2 linked regions of the Elephas maximus indicus genome follow. The protein of the gene in region 2 interacts with the protein of the main gene of each other region in a biochemical or structural test. Links are inferred from orthologs where the notes say so. Each region holds a gene or a part of one and is shown on either strand. Other genes may lie near its edges.

The links. The genes of interacting proteins can lie anywhere in the genome.
Region 1: the proteins of SRF (region 2) and MYOG form a complex in vitro, tested with the Homo sapiens proteins (2 studies listed by BioGRID and IntAct). The link is inferred for Elephas maximus indicus from reciprocal best matches to the Homo sapiens genes SRF and MYOG.

What each region holds. Positions count from the first base shown.
Region 1 is NC_064836.1:11,997,902-12,005,862, forward strand, and holds MYOG (myogenin), read right to left. Parts: upstream 2,779-7,961; coding exon 2,308-2,778; intron 1,510-2,307; coding exon 1,428-1,509; intron 812-1,427; coding exon 690-811; downstream 1-689. UniProt on the Homo sapiens protein: Acts as a transcriptional activator that promotes transcription of muscle-specific target genes and plays a role in muscle differentiation, cell cycle exit and muscle atrophy.
Region 2 is NC_064819.1:107,559,984-107,568,190, forward strand, and holds the start of SRF (serum response factor), read left to right. Parts: upstream 1-4,958; 5' UTR 4,959-5,312; coding exon 5,313-5,837; intron 5,838-7,709; coding exon 7,710-7,976; intron 7,977-8,207. UniProt on the Homo sapiens protein: SRF is a transcription factor that binds to the serum response element (SRE), a short sequence of dyad symmetry located 300 bp to the 5' of the site of transcription initiation of some genes (such as FOS).

The DNA of each region.
Region 1 (7,961 bases), on a different chromosome or scaffold from region 2:
AAACCACACAATGCTTAGTTAACAAAAGAAATCACCCCAAGAGTCCCCCTCCCCCCTCCCTGCCTGTTCCTGGCAACTTCAGCACAGGAGACCTTGGTCAGATGGCTGTTTTACAAACAACACACAAAACAAAACAAAACATAAACCTCTGGAAGGTTCCCAATAGTCACTGCAAAAGCTTGGCCCCCCATGGACTTAGGAACAAGATTGTTCCCCCCCCCCCCCACTTTCTCCTCCCTCAATTCAGGGCAGGCCCAGCCCAGCCCCTGGCTTCAGAAGAGACAAAAGCAGGAGTGCACAGCTTGTCCAGGTCAGGACACTGACTTTGTCTCTTGACATGTTTCTTTAGGTAAGTGGGAGTTGGAGGCTGCATTATGTTAAAAGGGAAGCTCCTGAGTTTGCCCCTTTACCCAGGGGGCATACACAAGGGGGTGCTCTGGTCCCCTGCTTTGTCTCCCGTGAAACAGGATGCCCTCTGCTCTAAGGAGTCAGCTGAATGAGGGAGTCCATTCCCCCACTGGGTGGTAGGTTAACCTTACGTAGAGGAGGAGAGGATAGTCTGGCATTTGGCAGCCCTGGGGCTGCCTTCCTGGCATCAGGACAGCCTGGTTTAGGAGGCCCCTGCTGCAGAAGTGGTGGTGGCTCTGGCCAGTTTGGGGGCATCCGTATGCCTGGCCTGGCAGACCATCTCAGTTGGGCATGCTTTCGTCTGCGAAGGCCACAGAAACATCCTCCACTGTGATGCTGTCCACGATAGAGGTGAGGGAGTGCAGGTTGTGGGCATCCGCAGGGTCGGGTGTGAGCAGGTGATCTGCAAGGAGAAGGTGGGGAGGGTGTGACCTGGGGGGGGTGAAGGGGGTCTTGAGGCCCAGAATAGGGAATGAACCCCTTGGGGTGTCATAGGTTTTTCAGGACAGATGGGCAAGCAAAACTCAGGAATCCTACTCCCCAGCCCGTGCCTTTCCAAATGCCCGGTGTGTGTGTGTGTGTGTGTGTGTGCGCGCGCGCGCGTGTGTGTGTGCCTCCTCCCTGAGCTCCCCTAGTGGGGCTAGGATTTGGGAGCAGCTATTCCGAGGTGCAGCCAGGGCAGTGTATCCTTGGAGACTGGAACTGCCCTTTGCTGGGCCCAGTTTTGCAGCACTGACTCAGCAGTTCCCAGGGACCCCTGGGGCAGGAGCATTCTCCTCTCTGTGGAGAAGGTCAGCTCCCGGGCACCAGCTGGGGCACTGTAGGAGGCCTCCTTCGCTGGTCAAGGTCTCAGGGAGGCATGCTTGGGAACCTGGGTTCAACAGTTCCAAGGAGAGGCCAAGGAAAGAGAGCTGGAGCAGGAAATAAGGTAAGAGGGGAGAACTGGGCCTAGGGGGCTGAAAAGGGGATGGGAACTGAGGGATCTGAGCCAAGGTTACCAGGATCCAGGCCTCACTTACCTCCTGGGTTGGGTCCGAACTCTAGTGCGCTGCCCCACTCTGGACTGCAGGAGGCGCTGTGGGAGCTGCAGTCACTGGGCACCTGCAAGATAGCAGGGTGGCGGGCGGGGGAAGCCCAAGGTCGGGACACAGCCATTCTCAGACGTCTCTGACCAATCCCCTTGGGCAGAAGCATCTGTGGTGGGGTTGGAGGGTGGGTCCTGGATGGCACCCCTTCAGCCCAGGCCACCCCCCACTCAAGAATCTTCACAGCTGGCTCCTTTCACACCCCCAACCTGACCCAGAGCCTCTGCTTCCAGGCCTTCCGTGGCCTTGACCCTGGGAGGTGATTCTGCCCTCACAAGACACCCAGCTTAAAGGGCCCCTTGGTTTCCTGCCTCTGGGGTAAGGCTGAAGGAGGCAGAGTGTCTGGCCTGAGCAGGGCCACTTCTGCTCAGGCCTTCTGGGTTCCAGTGGGGCTGAGGGGGATTGGTTTTTGCTCTGCTCAGCCACACCCAGGGTGAGGGTGGGGTGGGGGCAAAGCGATCTTCTCCGATGAGCTTGGCCTTGCTCTTTGGACCTATCTCCAGGCCCCGGGATTAATCCTCCCCCAGCGGGCTGACATGGACGTGTTCCTGTGTCCCTCCTACAGTTCAGAGCACACATACCCCAATTGCACCTCCTCCCATCGCCTTTATCGTGTCGGGAAAGGACATGGGGACATATGTGGTCAGCTGGACAGACGCAGCTCTGACAAAGGCAGGAGTCCTGCAGCCCCTCAAGACCCCTCTGCCTGGCACTGGCTTTAACCCTCTAAGCCCCTTTGTGCTGTCCTGAGGCTGTCCAAGTGCCTCCCTCTGGCCCACTCCCCCTGGGCCAGGTGGATGGGATGGCCACTTACCCCTGGCTGGGGCCCGCCCCCGCCTCGGTAGCGGAGGTCACGCTCCTCCTGGTTGAGGGTGCTGAGCAGGGCTTGCAGGCGCTCAATATACTGGATGGCGCTGCGCAGGATCTCCACCTTGGGCAGCCGCTGGTTGGGGTTGAGCAGGGTGCTCCTTTTCAGGGCCTCGAAGGCCTCATTCACCTTCTTGAGCCTGCGTTTCTCCCTCAGCGTGGCTGCCCGCCGCCGGTCCACGGACACCGACTTCCTCTTACACACCTTACACGCCCACGGGAGGCACTGGCCTGGGCAGTGTTCTGGGGTCCCCAGCCCCTTGTCTTCTAGGGGCCCTCGGGCCTCAGGGCTCAGGCCGAGCTCAGTCCGCTCATAGCCCGGAGGCTCAAAGCCCTGGAGGTGAACGGGCAGGTAGTTTTCCCCATCATAAAAGCGGGGTTCCTGGTAGAAGTAGGGGGATGTCTCATACAGCTCCATGGGGTCGGGAAAGACTTGTTCCTGCCACCAGCCCCCAAGCTCCTGCAGCCCCTCACGCCAACTGCTGGGTGCCATTTAAACCTTCCCTGCTGGCATGGAACCAGAGATAAATATAGCTAACGCCACAGAAACCTGAGCCCCCCTCTAAGCTGTTGCTGCACATCAAGACGTTTACAGTGGATTAGATGTGATTCCCCTTCCCTCTCCCCCACGGCCCCCACCCCACCCATCCAGCCTGCCCCTGGCCCAGGCCGGCTCCTGTGCACGGGCAGGGAGGCCGTCGGGTGTAATTTGATTAGTTTTCATTTCTCCCGTGGGACAGGGGAGGTGGGGGAGGACAGGCATTCTCCTCTCATCTGCTCCCTTCAATTACTCCTAGCTGGGCGCCTGCCTGCTCTCTTCTTGCTAGTCCCAAAGAAGCTGAAGGGGCGGGGGGTGGGGGGCAAGGAAGAGGTGGGTTCAGGCTGGAAGGGACCTTAAGAAGCCAATTTATCCATCCCCCTGCTTCCTGACCAGCACCTTAACCAGACTATGTCAGTCAGATAAAACTCTTGAAGAACCCCCTTCCCAAAGAACAACACTGCTTCAAATTTTGAGGACATGTGGGGTACTCGCTGACCAGGGATAAGAAGGAGTGAAACTCAAAAGACAAATAGATTCAGCTTCGGGTTTCCAAAGTAGGTTTGACATCATGTATTCTCTCAGGTCTTGTGTGATTGCAGGGAAATTGAGGCAAAAGGATTTTTGGTTTTGTTTTTGTTTTTGGCAGAGTCAGGGGAAATTTTTCTTTTAATACAGCTGGTCAGAGTAAGAGTGGGTATTAGAATTTGCAGCTACACCTTGCCTCCTCCTCACAGTGTTATCCACTATTAAACCCTCCATCTCTTCCCTCCTTCACTCTGGATCACTTATTGTCCTTCTGTGTCCTCCTCAACTCTGTTTCTAGCCCCATTAAAAAAAAAAAAAACCCAAACCCGTTGCTGTCGAGTCAATTCCAACTCATAGTGACCCTATAGAACGGAGTAGAGCTGCCCCATAGAGTTTCCAAGGAGCTCCTGGCGGATTTGAACTGCTGACCTTTAGGTTAGCAGCCATAGCATTTAGCCCCATTAGGACACCAGAATTTTCCTGATTCCTTATGGTGGATGAAATGAGAAGGAGAGAAAGTAGGGCCCTTCAGACTCAGTTTAAATCTCTGTTCTTCTTGATCATCTGGCTTGGTTGGTCTGCCTCTTCCTGTCTGTGCCACCAATTTACACATATTGTACAGGTCTCAAGTGTCAAGTGAAGGAGTGACTATTTAACCTTTCAGGTTCTCAGCCCATGATCACCTTTCAGTAGAGGCCTCGGGGTCTGAGAGGACTCATTCCTCCCAGTGCACTGGGCAGGCCTCAGATACCAACAGTGGACAAGACTCAGTCTCAGCACTGAGGGATTACAGGGAAGCCAAAGGCAGGGTCTCTACCTTTGAGGACCTTACCATCTAGTAGACCACAGTGGCCACCTAGTTTACACCACACCTAATGCCTGAACCCCCTCTCCAGGTAGCCATTGTCCAGCTTGTGCTGACCTCACAAGCCCACCCATTCCACTGCTGTGCAGCTGTGGCCACAGGGAGTCCTGGGTTTTGACCTGCAATCTGCCCCCTCTATCCTTCACCCTTTGGTCCCAGTTCTTCCCTCTAGGACCCTACAGATTAAGTCTGACTCCCCCAACATATGACAGATGATATTGATCTTATAATTCAAGCCAGTGGCGAGGACAGTAAGAGGAAGAGAAACCATGCTTGGGGCTCAGGGAAGACTCTGCAGGGTAGGTGAGATCTGAATGGCGGTTGAAGACATCTGCCTTACCTCCTCTTGTTATCCATGACATGGAGCCAGGAACATCCTGGTGTCCTTTTGGGGCAGGACACAGAGATGAGGAGGGGACATAGATGGACAACAAAGGAGCCCTGAGCATGTTAGGGGGGCAGTGAAGTCCTAATGTGATTCTTGTCCTAACCAGCACCACGGAAGGTGGCCGCATGGGGGCTGGGAGTTCTAAACCTTCTTTGGCCCCAACCAATTGGGCTGAAAAAGAAAGAATCTCTACTCCCAAGACACACTCCCCTCACCACCAACAAAGAAAGGAAAAAACAAACGCTTTGCCTCAGTTTACACACTAATCCTGTGAGCCCTGAGAAAAGACATGATGTTGAAGCTATTATGGAAATCCAGAAGCTGCATTTTTTATCCTTTTGGGATTGAATCTGACTTACCCTTAAACAATGTCTCTACTTCCTCAAAAACTGAAAGAGAAATGGGTTTGTTGTATGATGGTTTCCAGGATCTTACTATCTAGTTCTGGTGAGCATGGACACTGAAATGTGGATGCTAAATGACAATGCAAGACAGAGCTATTTTAATTCAAGGGCAAACATGGGGGCCATGATCAACTGCAAATGAGTGGATTCATCAAAGAAGTATTTCAGTTGTTTATAGAAAGGCAAAACCATGGAAGGCCAGGGTCTCTGAGGAAGGCCGGACGAGGAGGAGAACACAGGCTGGGCCATGGAGAACAAGCAGGATTTGGATGGGAAATGGAGATCTCTCTGGAGAGCAAAGGGGGCATTGGGTAGATCAGTCTGTATGGAGCTCAGGTTCACGTAAGGTGGTGACTGGGGACAAGTCTGCAAAAACGGGTGGAAGCTCAACTGGGCATGGAAGAACTTGATTGAATACTGAGGTGAGGAGACCAAATAGAACATGACAGTAATCCAGGAATAAGGTGATGAAGGTCTGATCAACCCACTCAGAGGCATGAGGATGGATCATCCACCCAGACAGGATCCACTGTTCAGGCTGGCAAAAAAGAATGGTGTGTATGTGTGTTTCTCATAGGGGGTGATTTGTTGTATTAATTGGAATGGCACCCGGAACATGGAAACACGGAATAAATGTTAGTCCTTTTCCTTGTGTTGTCCTTTTCTCTACTCCTGATCATTACCACTCCCCCCTTAGACTCATTGTTCTCCTTCACAGGGTGTTTCCCTGGCTGTGCTCATTGCCTCCAGGAAACCAGAGTAGCACAAATGGGGGAGGGAAAACCTGACTCCACCATGCATGTGCAGATTTATTCATTTAGTCCTTCAATCAAGACACATGTATTGAGCACCTTGTGCGAGATGATAAGGTCACTAACCTGAATAAGACATGGTCTTTTGGCCTTTGAAGTACTCACAGTTGAGTAAGGAAAATAAGTACCCAAAGTTGTTTACTCAAGGTAGAAAGTGGTCGTTTTTGTTGTTGTGTGCCATCGAGTTGATTCTGACTCACAGCAACCCTATATGACAGAGTAGAACTGCCCCATAGGGTTTTCTAGGCTTTAATCTTTAGAGGAGACTCAGGTATTTCTACCACCACCACCAGTTGTCTTTGAGTCAACTCCAACTCATGGCGATCCCATGTGTGTCAGAGTAGAACTGTGCTCCATAAGGTTTTCAATGGCTGATTTTTTAGCATTAGATCTCTGGGCCTTTCTTCTGAGGTGCTTCTGATGTGGACTCGAACCTCCAACCTTTTGGCTGGCAGCTGAGTACATTAACCATTTGCACCACCCAGGGACTCCTCAGGTATCTCTGACCTCCCAACACCCTGTTACCCACCTTATTCCTCTCTCAGAGCTGAGCTGTGGAGAAGCTGCATCTAGAAGCTCAGCTTTCCTCCTCCTGCACACCCCTCCACCCCCAGGAGCTGTCCTCTGATGGATGGGAACACATTGGTGCCAAGCACAGAGCAGCCTTTGTGCTCCACCACCAGCGGCGATCCATCAGCTCTAACCTGACAGCGGGGGGCCGTCCAGCCCTAATCCCCACCCCTGCTGGCTTGGGCACACAGGACCCCCTGCCCCCGACTGGAGCTTTCTCTTCTAGCAGTCCTGCTCTCTCCAGAGGAAGCCCTTATCCCCCTGCTGGGGCTTCAGGACCAGGCTGTTTGCTCCTCTGCTTGGACTCTCTCAACTTGATTCTATTTGCATGCTGGGCTGATCCCATTTGCATAGTAGCGGTGGGATTTCAAAGTGCTCAGAAATACCCTTCACCTACTCCCTGCTCCTTCCTTTCCGCTGTGCCACACACGGTAATCCCAGCTCTCTGACCTCTAGCATCTTCCAGGCCCTGCTTACCTGGCAAGTGGGCTTACCTGGGCTGCCAGGTTGCTTGGCTAAAATCAAAACAAATTTCTCACTGAGCATCTCATGTGCTTCGGAATAGAAACAAGAAGGAGAAGGGTCTGGCAGGGTGGGAACCTCTGGCTTCTCCAAACAGACCCCATCTTTTGTTTCCCTAGGCTAGGTCTCTGGGTATTATTATTATGATTATTTTAGTAATATTTTATTGTGCTTTCGTTGAAGGTTTACACAGCAGTTTATGTTCCCATTCAACAATTTCTATACAAGTTGTTCACTGACATTGGCTGCATCCTTCACAGTGCATGAATATTCTCATGATTTCCATTCTGGTTGTTCCGTTTCCATTAATCTAGTTTCCCTGCCCCCTTATATTCTCATCTTTGTATTAAAGTAACTGTTGACCATGTGGTCTCATGTAGGTGATTTTTTTAAAAAGCACAGTACTTACAGATGATATTCATTACTTTTTGAGCCAATTTGTTATTCAGCTACACGGTGACCTCAGGGGTTAGTTTTGGTTCAAGGTTTGGTGAGTATCTCAGGCCAGTAGTTTTGGGAGTTGTCTAGTCTTAACCAGTCCAGTAGGTCTGGTTTTTTGTTGTTGTTTTGTTTTTAAGAATTTCAGGTTCTGTTCCACATTTTTCTCTTATTCTATCAGGGTCCGTCTATGGTGGCCTTAATTAAGATGGTTGGTAGTTGTAGTCAGGTACCATCTAGTTCTTCTGGTCTCAGGGTAGATGAGGCTGTGGTTTGTGTGAACTATTCATCCTGTAGACCAGTTTCTTCATCGAGTCTTTGGTTTCTTTCTTTTGTTCCAGACAAGTAGAGACCAATAGCTGTATCTTAGTCTCTGAGTATTCATTATTAATGAAGACTAGGTGAAGATTGGGTGGAAGGAGCGCTTATGCATTTCAGTAGGACCTAGATGCATGCATATTGCATTACATGCAAATCAGCATTAATTTTTTGTGGGTCAATAGCTTTGCCTCAGGGTGAGAACACATCACAGAATC
Region 2 (8,207 bases):
GGACTGGGGGTGGGGAGGAGGGAGGTGGGACAGGAATGAAGAGTGACTGCTAATGGGGATGGCGTTTCTTTTTGGGGTGTTGACATGTTCTAAAATTAGATTGTGGTGATGGTTGCACAACTCTGTGAATATACTAAACACCACTAAGCTGTAGACTTTAAATGGGTGAATTTTATGGTATGTGAAATACATCAACAAAGCTGTAAAAAAAAAAAAAAATAACACTTTGTGAGGATCAAAAACAAAAAAATGTAAAGATTAAATAGCATAATGTATGTTTAAAAAAAAAAAAAAGAAGGGAGACATGTTCATGGCCAAAGAGCCCCACCTCTGATTCAGTTAGCATTCGTTTTCTGAGCACCTACCTGTGCCAAACATGGGCTGTGTAGCTGGATTGCAAAGGTGAGCGAGGTGGTCCCTGCCCTCAAGAGCTCACAGTTGTCTGGTCCCTACCTGTTAGGTTGTCTATCTTGTCCTTGCTGGCTGTGCTCACAGGTAGGGGAGAAAAACAATGTCTATTGTATGTGTAGGTGGTGTGGCCAACTGAGTCTTAAGATTTTTTAGTTTTTTATTTTGTTTTCAAGTAATGGGGACGGATTTGTGATCTAGCCACATGCTTCTTGTATGCCGTCTCCCCCAGGATGAAGCAGTGGTAAGGATCTCTGAGAAGAGTGATGAGGGCTTGGGGGTATAGCACCTCAAAAAGAGGCAGAGCTGGCAGACTCCTCTGAGGAAGGCTTTCATTTTGGCCTGGCTGTACCTGCCTGGGCTGACTTGGGGCGGCGGGGGGGGGGGGGGTGCGTGGGAAGAAAAAGTTTAATCCAGAAGTTAAGCCAAGCTCATTGTGTCTCTGGTACTCAACATAGTGCCTAGTGCATAATGGGGCCTGTCGAGTTGGCCCCAACTCATGGCACATGAGCCCTAGTGTTAATGGCAACCACAGGGCCATTGTGATCCATAGGGTTTTCATTGGATGATTTTCAGAAGTATATATAGCTAGGCCTTTTTTCCCAGTTCATCCTAGTTTGGAAGCTCCGCTGCAACCTGTTCAGCATCATGGCAACACACAAGACTCCACTGAGAGCTGGTGGCTGTGCATGAGGGGCAGTGGCTGGGAATCAAACCTGGGTCTCCCACATGGGAGGGGAGAATTCTACCACTCAGCCACCACTGCCCCCATGGGGCCTCACATAGGCTGTGCTTAATGAGTTGAAGTGATACCAATTTAGGTTGTTAAATGTCTCCCTGATTGCCTTCCATTAAGAACTCCTGGGTAAAGATTAATTCCAAATGAGAATGGTTTTAGTGTGTGATAGTAATTTTAAAAAGCAGTCCTTAATTTTTGTTGTAATATTATTTGGAATAAATGCCAGGGTGGAAATGGTGTGGTGTAAAGGGGATAATTTCTCCTCTGTCACAGGATCTGGCTGGAATTCTTGTGCCCTGCTGGAGGTTTTCCAAGGCTTGGGGTAAATGTGAGCTCCCATCGATCCCGGGGGGGCTGGACTGAAATTCCCGTCTGATTTAGGCCTTATCGGAGAAGCTCAAACTTACATTCCAGGAGGCTAGGCAGGGAACTTACCTGAACCCTGTGGGCTGTGTGGGGTCTGTGGTGAACCAGCGAGCAGAAGTCTCTTCTACAGCGGCCACTCAGTGTCAGGCTATAATGCTCCTTTGGCCACCGAGGCCTGGAGTTGCCACTGAGGCCTGGAGTTGCCACAAATCCCACTTTTTTGAGAGAGGCTGGACATTCAGATTCTTAGGTAAAATCTCCTGATTTTTGAATATTATATGGTCCAACCAAAACATAGCTATGATCCAGTTTTGTTTTTGTTTTTATTGTGGTAAATACATATGCAGCAAATCGTTTGCCATTTCAACATTACTCACGTGTACAATTCAGTGGTATTAAATATGTTTAGCATGTTTCCACTTTTTTATTTTGACTTTCTTCCCATCAACAGTTTTGGCCCCTGAACCTGCAGTAATCCAATGGTGTGTGGAAGTAGGTCCCCTCCTACCTCCCTATGGTGGCAAAGGACTGTGAAGATGAAGCCATCCTAGTCAAGGCTCTGAGTCGGGTGAAGGAGCTGTGGCGCTAACAATGGTGTGCAGTGGCCGGATAGTTGGGTGAAATCAGAGAGAGGGCAGCCTGTCTGAAGGAAGGCTGAGAACTGTGCTCATCCAGGACACCCTCTCTTGTGGGTGTGGCAGAGAGCAATTGCCCTATGGGGTGCCCATACTGAGGGCTTGTACCCCAAACGGTCCTCATTTACCTCTAGTGGCTCTGTCAACCCTGCATGTGTCTAAGCTAGTGGTCTTATAGGAAAAAATCTTTAGAGGCCAGGCAGGAATGAAACTTCATGGCTGTGGTTGTAGGAAGACTGCTGCTTGTGTAAAACACATTCCCAAGCATTACTTGTAGTCTCCGAGACCCTTCTGAAACCCATTTTTCTATCTGACCTGTTCTTCCTCTTGAGCTAACACATGCCATATGTTTAAATACCTGCTGTGTAGAGTAAATTAGGGAGAAAAAAAACTATATATAGGTTCGCTATGAGTCAGAATTGCCTCAACGGCAATGGGTTTGGTTTTGGTTTTTTATATATGTACGTGTGTGTGTGTGTGTAGTTGTGAGCTGTCGAGTCGATTCCAACTCATAGTGACCCTATAGGGCAGAGTAGAACTGCCCCATAGGGTTTCCAACGAGCAGTTGGTGGATTCGAACTGCAGACCTTTGGTTAGTAACCTGAGCTCTTAACCACTTTGCCACCAGGGCTCCATATATATATGGTAAAGTTTTTATATATACATATATATATATTTATTTCACAAATCATTTGAACATAATTTTGGCATTTCTCAAAATCTTTGGATTGTGAATTACAGTAAGAAATGTAGTTGACATGGCCATCCAGTACATACGTACATCGAGGCATATAAAATTGACAGTATTCCACCCCTTTGGCCTGTAAAACTGCAATTTCAAATGGTTCAATCTATATATAACTCAATGCAACAAAACTTATTCTCGTGTTTTGTGATACCTATTAATTTTTATTCTTTTAAATTCTGGTTGCAGTACCTAAATTGATTTCATTACCACTAATGGGTCACAATTAATCTCCGCAATAATTTTTAAGGCAGGCATCATCACCATTTTCCACCCATCCACTTAAAAACACTGAGATCTATCCCAGGGTTGAGGTGACCTCACCCCAGGTAGCTCCTATTTACTCTTCACTGACCCTTTAGTGGTGCAGGTGGTGCAGTGGTTAAGCACTCAGCTGCTAACTGAAAGGTCAGCTGTTTAAACCCACCAGCCACTGTGGGAGGAGGATGTGGCAGTCTGCTTCCTTAAAGATTATAGCCTTGGAAACCCTACGGGACAGTTCTACTCTGTTCTCTGGGGTCTCTATGAATCAGAATCAACTCGATGGCCATGGGTTGGGACCCTTTAGTCTTTATCTGATGTAATCTGCATACGAACCTCATAGGATGGGCACCATCATCTAAGAATACGGAGTTTGGAAAGGTCAAGTCACTTGTTTCCAGGCATAGGACTAGGTAGAGGAAGATTCTACTTGTAAATAATTTCTGCAACAGCGAAAAGCCCAAGCTATTTTCACTGCTTTGGCGATAAGACCCAGACCAGGACTTCTTACCATGGACCTGGACTTCGAAGCGTCCCAGTTCTAATCTTTTTTTTCTCTTCCGGACTTTTTCTTGGCTTTCCAGAGAAAGGGGTGTGTGTGTGTGTGTAGAAAGGGGTGTGTGTGTGTGTAGAAAGGGTGTGTGTGTGTGTGTGTGTGTGTGTGTGTAGAAAGGGGTGTGTGTGTGTGTGTGTGTGTGTGTGTGTAGAAAGGGGTGTGTGTGTGTGTGTAGAAAGGGGTGTGTGTGTGTGTGTGTGTGTGGCTTTCCAGAGAGATGTGTGTGTGTGTGTGTGTGTGTGTGCGTGTGGCTTTCTAGAGAGATGTGTGTGAGTGTGCGCGCGCGGTTATGCTTAAACTTTCCGCCAGGCTGTACTTTTTCTCTATGAGTCGGAAGCGACTGTACAGCAACGGGTTTGGGTTTGTTTTTGTTTTTGTTTTTTTAATACTTTCAGGCCTTTGCACAGGCTGTGGGGTGCCCTTTATCCTCGGGATCACCCCCTCCCCCAGCCCAGCCTGCAGCTGGAAGTCTTCACTGATCTCCAGCTCTCCTCCCTACCCCCATCGGGAACCTGAAGGCGACTGTCTCGCCCGGCCCTTTCCAGATGTACGTCTGCCAAAGACACCCCAGTGTAGAGGATGATGAATGAGAACAGGGGAGCAGGCCTGGTGGGAAAGTGTCGTCGCCATGAAAAGAGAGGGAAAGGGAAGGAAAGTTGGGGGGAGGGGAATGCTTAGAGTGGAACAGCGGGGGCGCGACAAGTCTGGACGCTGGGAACCCAAACCCCCTCCGCTGGGCCAGTAAGTTTGTCTCCCTCAGAAAGGCGTGGGGAAGTGTTCCAATCCCTGCACTCCTTCCTTAGAATTTGGGTTGTATTTTCTTATTTACTGCAACCCCCACAATATCCTCAGGGGCTCCCCCAGTGTTTGGTTCCAGCCTTCTCAGTCCCCGGCTCCCAGTCTGCTCCCTCTCCTTCGCGAGGCAACGCTCCAGCCCTCTCCCGGGCTTTCTCTCCGCACGTCCCTCCCAATTCTCTCCACCATTCTCTACTTGGGGGGGCGGAGCCGTACCTCCTCTTCTGTTTCTTTAAGAAGCGTCGGCTCCTCCCCTTTGGGAGTCGCCGTCTGACGCGAGATGACAGCAGCGAGTTCGGTATGTCTATGCAAATAAGAGCCTCCTGAGGGCCAATGGGGAGCGGAAGTGCCGGAACCGCGGACCAATGGGGCGGGGGCGCTGGGGCTCACCATATAAGGAGCAGCCTCGCCATAAAAGGAAACATTGTATCTCTTTATATGGGGGGAAGGGTCGGGGGATCCCTCCGCCGCCAGCGCGTGGTCGCGGCCCCCTCCACCCGCCGTCTCGGCCGCGGCCAGCAGCCCCTGCCCCCCGGGGGACGCTGACGGCCGCCGGGCGCGCCGCCCGAGCACACGGACAGGGGGCGCTGCGCGCGGCCTGGGGCAACCCGGGCCACAGGGGCAGGAAAGTGAGGGCCCAGGTCGGCCCGGGCGTGCAGGGGCCCCGGGTTCGCTGCGGCGGCAGCTACAGCGATAGCGGCTCTAGAAGCATCAGGAGCGCGGGGTTGAGCCGGGAAGCCGATGGCGGCGGCAGCAGCGGCTCCGATTCCTCGCTGACTGCCCGTCCACCCTTCTGCATTGAGCGCCATGTTACCGAGCCAAGCTGGGGCCGCGGCGGCGCTGGGCCGGGGCTCGGCCCTGGGAGGCAGCCTGAACCGGACCTCGACGGGACGGCCGGGCGGTGGAGGTGGTGGCGGCGGCGGGACTCGCGGGGCTAACGGGGCCCGGGTCCCCGGGAACGGCGCGGGGCTCGGGCCGGGCCGCCTGGAGCGGGAGGCTGCAGCAGCGGCGGCAAGCGCCCCGGCGCCCACCGCGGGGGCCCTCTACAGCGGCAGCGAGGGCGACTCGGAGTCGGGCGAGGAGGAGGAGCTGGGCACCGAGCGGCGCGGCCTGAAACGGAGCCTGAGTGAGATGGAGCTCGGCGTGGTGGTCGGTGGGCCCGAGGCGTCGGCGGCGGCCACCGGGGGTTACGGGCCGGTGAGCGGCGCGGTGAGCGGGGCCAAGCCGGGTAAGAAGACCCGGGGCCGCGTGAAGATCAAGATGGAGTTCATCGACAACAAGCTGCGGCGCTACACGACCTTCAGCAAGAGGAAGACAGGCATCATGAAGAAGGTACCAGGCGGGGAGGCTGGCCGGCCACGGGGGACCGAGAAGGGGTGGGGACGCGCAGGGGGAGCCCGGGAGGAAGGCAGAGTCGAGGCGAAGGTGAGAGGCGGCGAATCCGCAGGAGGTGTGTGGGAGGAGATGGCTGTTACCGGAGTAGGGCGAAAGGGGTGGGGCGGTCAGGGAAATGTGGGGAGAGGGGAGATGCAGCGAACGTCCGGGGAAGAAGGGAAAGGCGCCGAGGTGGGAGTGACGGGCACCAGAGAGGAAGAGGGCCCTAGCGAGTGAAGGGGTAAGGAGGGGTAATGGGAAGCTGCAAGGCTGCCGGTACGGCATCTGATGAGACATAGGGGTCAGTAGGTCTTGTACTCCCGGCGCTGGGGCGAGGGAACGCTGGAAAGGCAGGGTGCAGAAGAGAAGGTAGGGAGGTGAAGAGCCTGGAGCTGGGAGGGTAGCTGTAATGACAACAATGAGCAAGCATGTGTGGGAGGAAGGTGGGCACCACCTGAGTAGTGCTGGCTGGAAAGACAGGCGGAACCTATCCGGGCTCAAGGGCCCCAGGTAAGGGAATAGGGCGGGAAAAGTGGTGTTGCCGTGAGCAGCAGGGACCAAGCCTTGCAATGACCATGTGTCTTCCATTGCCATCCCCTGGAAGCCGGCATCCTTCTAGTGGGACAGGCTGTGGAACCACCTGCCTTTGGGACAAATGTGGTTTTCAGCCCAAGGCAAAATCTGTGCATGGAATTTGGGAGAAAAACAGGGAGGTTTGCAGAGAAACATAGAAATTCCTCCTATGCCAGCCAGTTATCCAGTGAAAAGGAGTGAGGAGAAGAGGCATCTTGGGATGTAGAAGATGGGAAGGGATGGAAGCAGAGAAAATGGGAGCTAAGGAACTAGAACCTTGGGGGCTTTGGCCGTGTTTATATCTGTACCACATAGAAACCGGAGCTGCTCCCAAGGTGGGGTGTGGAACTTTCTTGGGAATGAGTGTGGCATCTGTAGGGTCATCCTTGAGGGCTCCCCGGTGTGTATTCACGGTGGGGTAAAACGCTTTGCCCTCAAGTCGATTCTGACTCATAGCAATCCTTTAGGACGGAGTAGAACTGCCTCATAGAGTTTCCAAGGAGCGCCTGGTGGATTCAGACAGCTGACCTTTTGGTTAGCAGCCACTTAACCGCTACGCCACGCCATGTTGGGGTGGTAGGTACTAATCTAGTCCCCACCTCGCATCACTCCCAACATTGCTGTATCAGTGTCCCTTGTCACTTAATCATTAGTGGAGAAGGTTGAGTGGGGAGCTTCATGGAGGAAAGACTGCTTTTTCCTCCCTTACTTATCCTGCCTCCCCATGAAAAAGAAAAAAGGGTAGTACAGTATTGCAGGGCAGAAGGACAACCAAGGCCCTGGCAACAGGTTAGGGCCTGTTGCAATTTCTGGGAAGACATATGGGACAGTTTGGAGCTTAGGTATCCCCTTATCCCTCATATCTTATATGACTTTCCATGTGGTCAGGACCCCATCCTGGTTCCTGTGACACTGTGGAGGGAGTGGGAGCCATCTCTCTGAAACACCAAGCTGTGGTGGGGTGCAGCTAACTGGACCCCTCTGGGTCACCTGTGGTCATATGTTCTGTCACCAGGCGGTGACTGTTTGCTTCAGGGATCTGCAGTTTGGTGGTATAACTCAAAGAAGCATGGATAGTTTTGCTGCTCCCCAGATCACCTTCTGATATCCTGATAGGACCCTAGAGTCACTGGAGAGGAAGGTCACGGGAGTTGGGGCTTGAGATCACTGTGGTCTTTTTCTCTTTTTTACTTTTAAAGCCAGGTCGGAATGAAAGTGAAAAGTTTTCTGACCTGCCCATCTTACCCCCCACTGCAGGCCTATGAACTGTCCACACTAACAGGGACACAGGTGCTGTTGCTGGTGGCCAGTGAGACAGGCCATGTGTATACCTTTGCCACCCGGAAACTGCAGCCCATGATCACCAGTGAGACAGGCAAGGCACTGATTCAGACCTGCCTCAACTCGCCAGACTCTCCACCTCGCTCAGACCCCACCACAGACCAGAGAATGAGTGCCACGGGCTTCGAAGAGACAGACCTCACCTACCAGGTGTCCGAGTCCGACAGTAGTGGGGAGACCAAGGTGTGTTTGGGTCACCTATCTGAGGGGAGGGAAGAGGAGAGGATTGATGGGCAGAGAAAGGAGGAGGTCCCTCTCCCTCCGTCACCCAAGAAGAATGGTGGATAGGTGCCTGCGGATGTGGAGTGGGTGTTAGTGCCTCTCATCCTGGGGGACAGGTGTTCATCCTCGCCATCCTGACACGAGGCCCGCCCCCTAGATAAGCGGGCGGCCTCCGTGCCCATATAAGGCCGG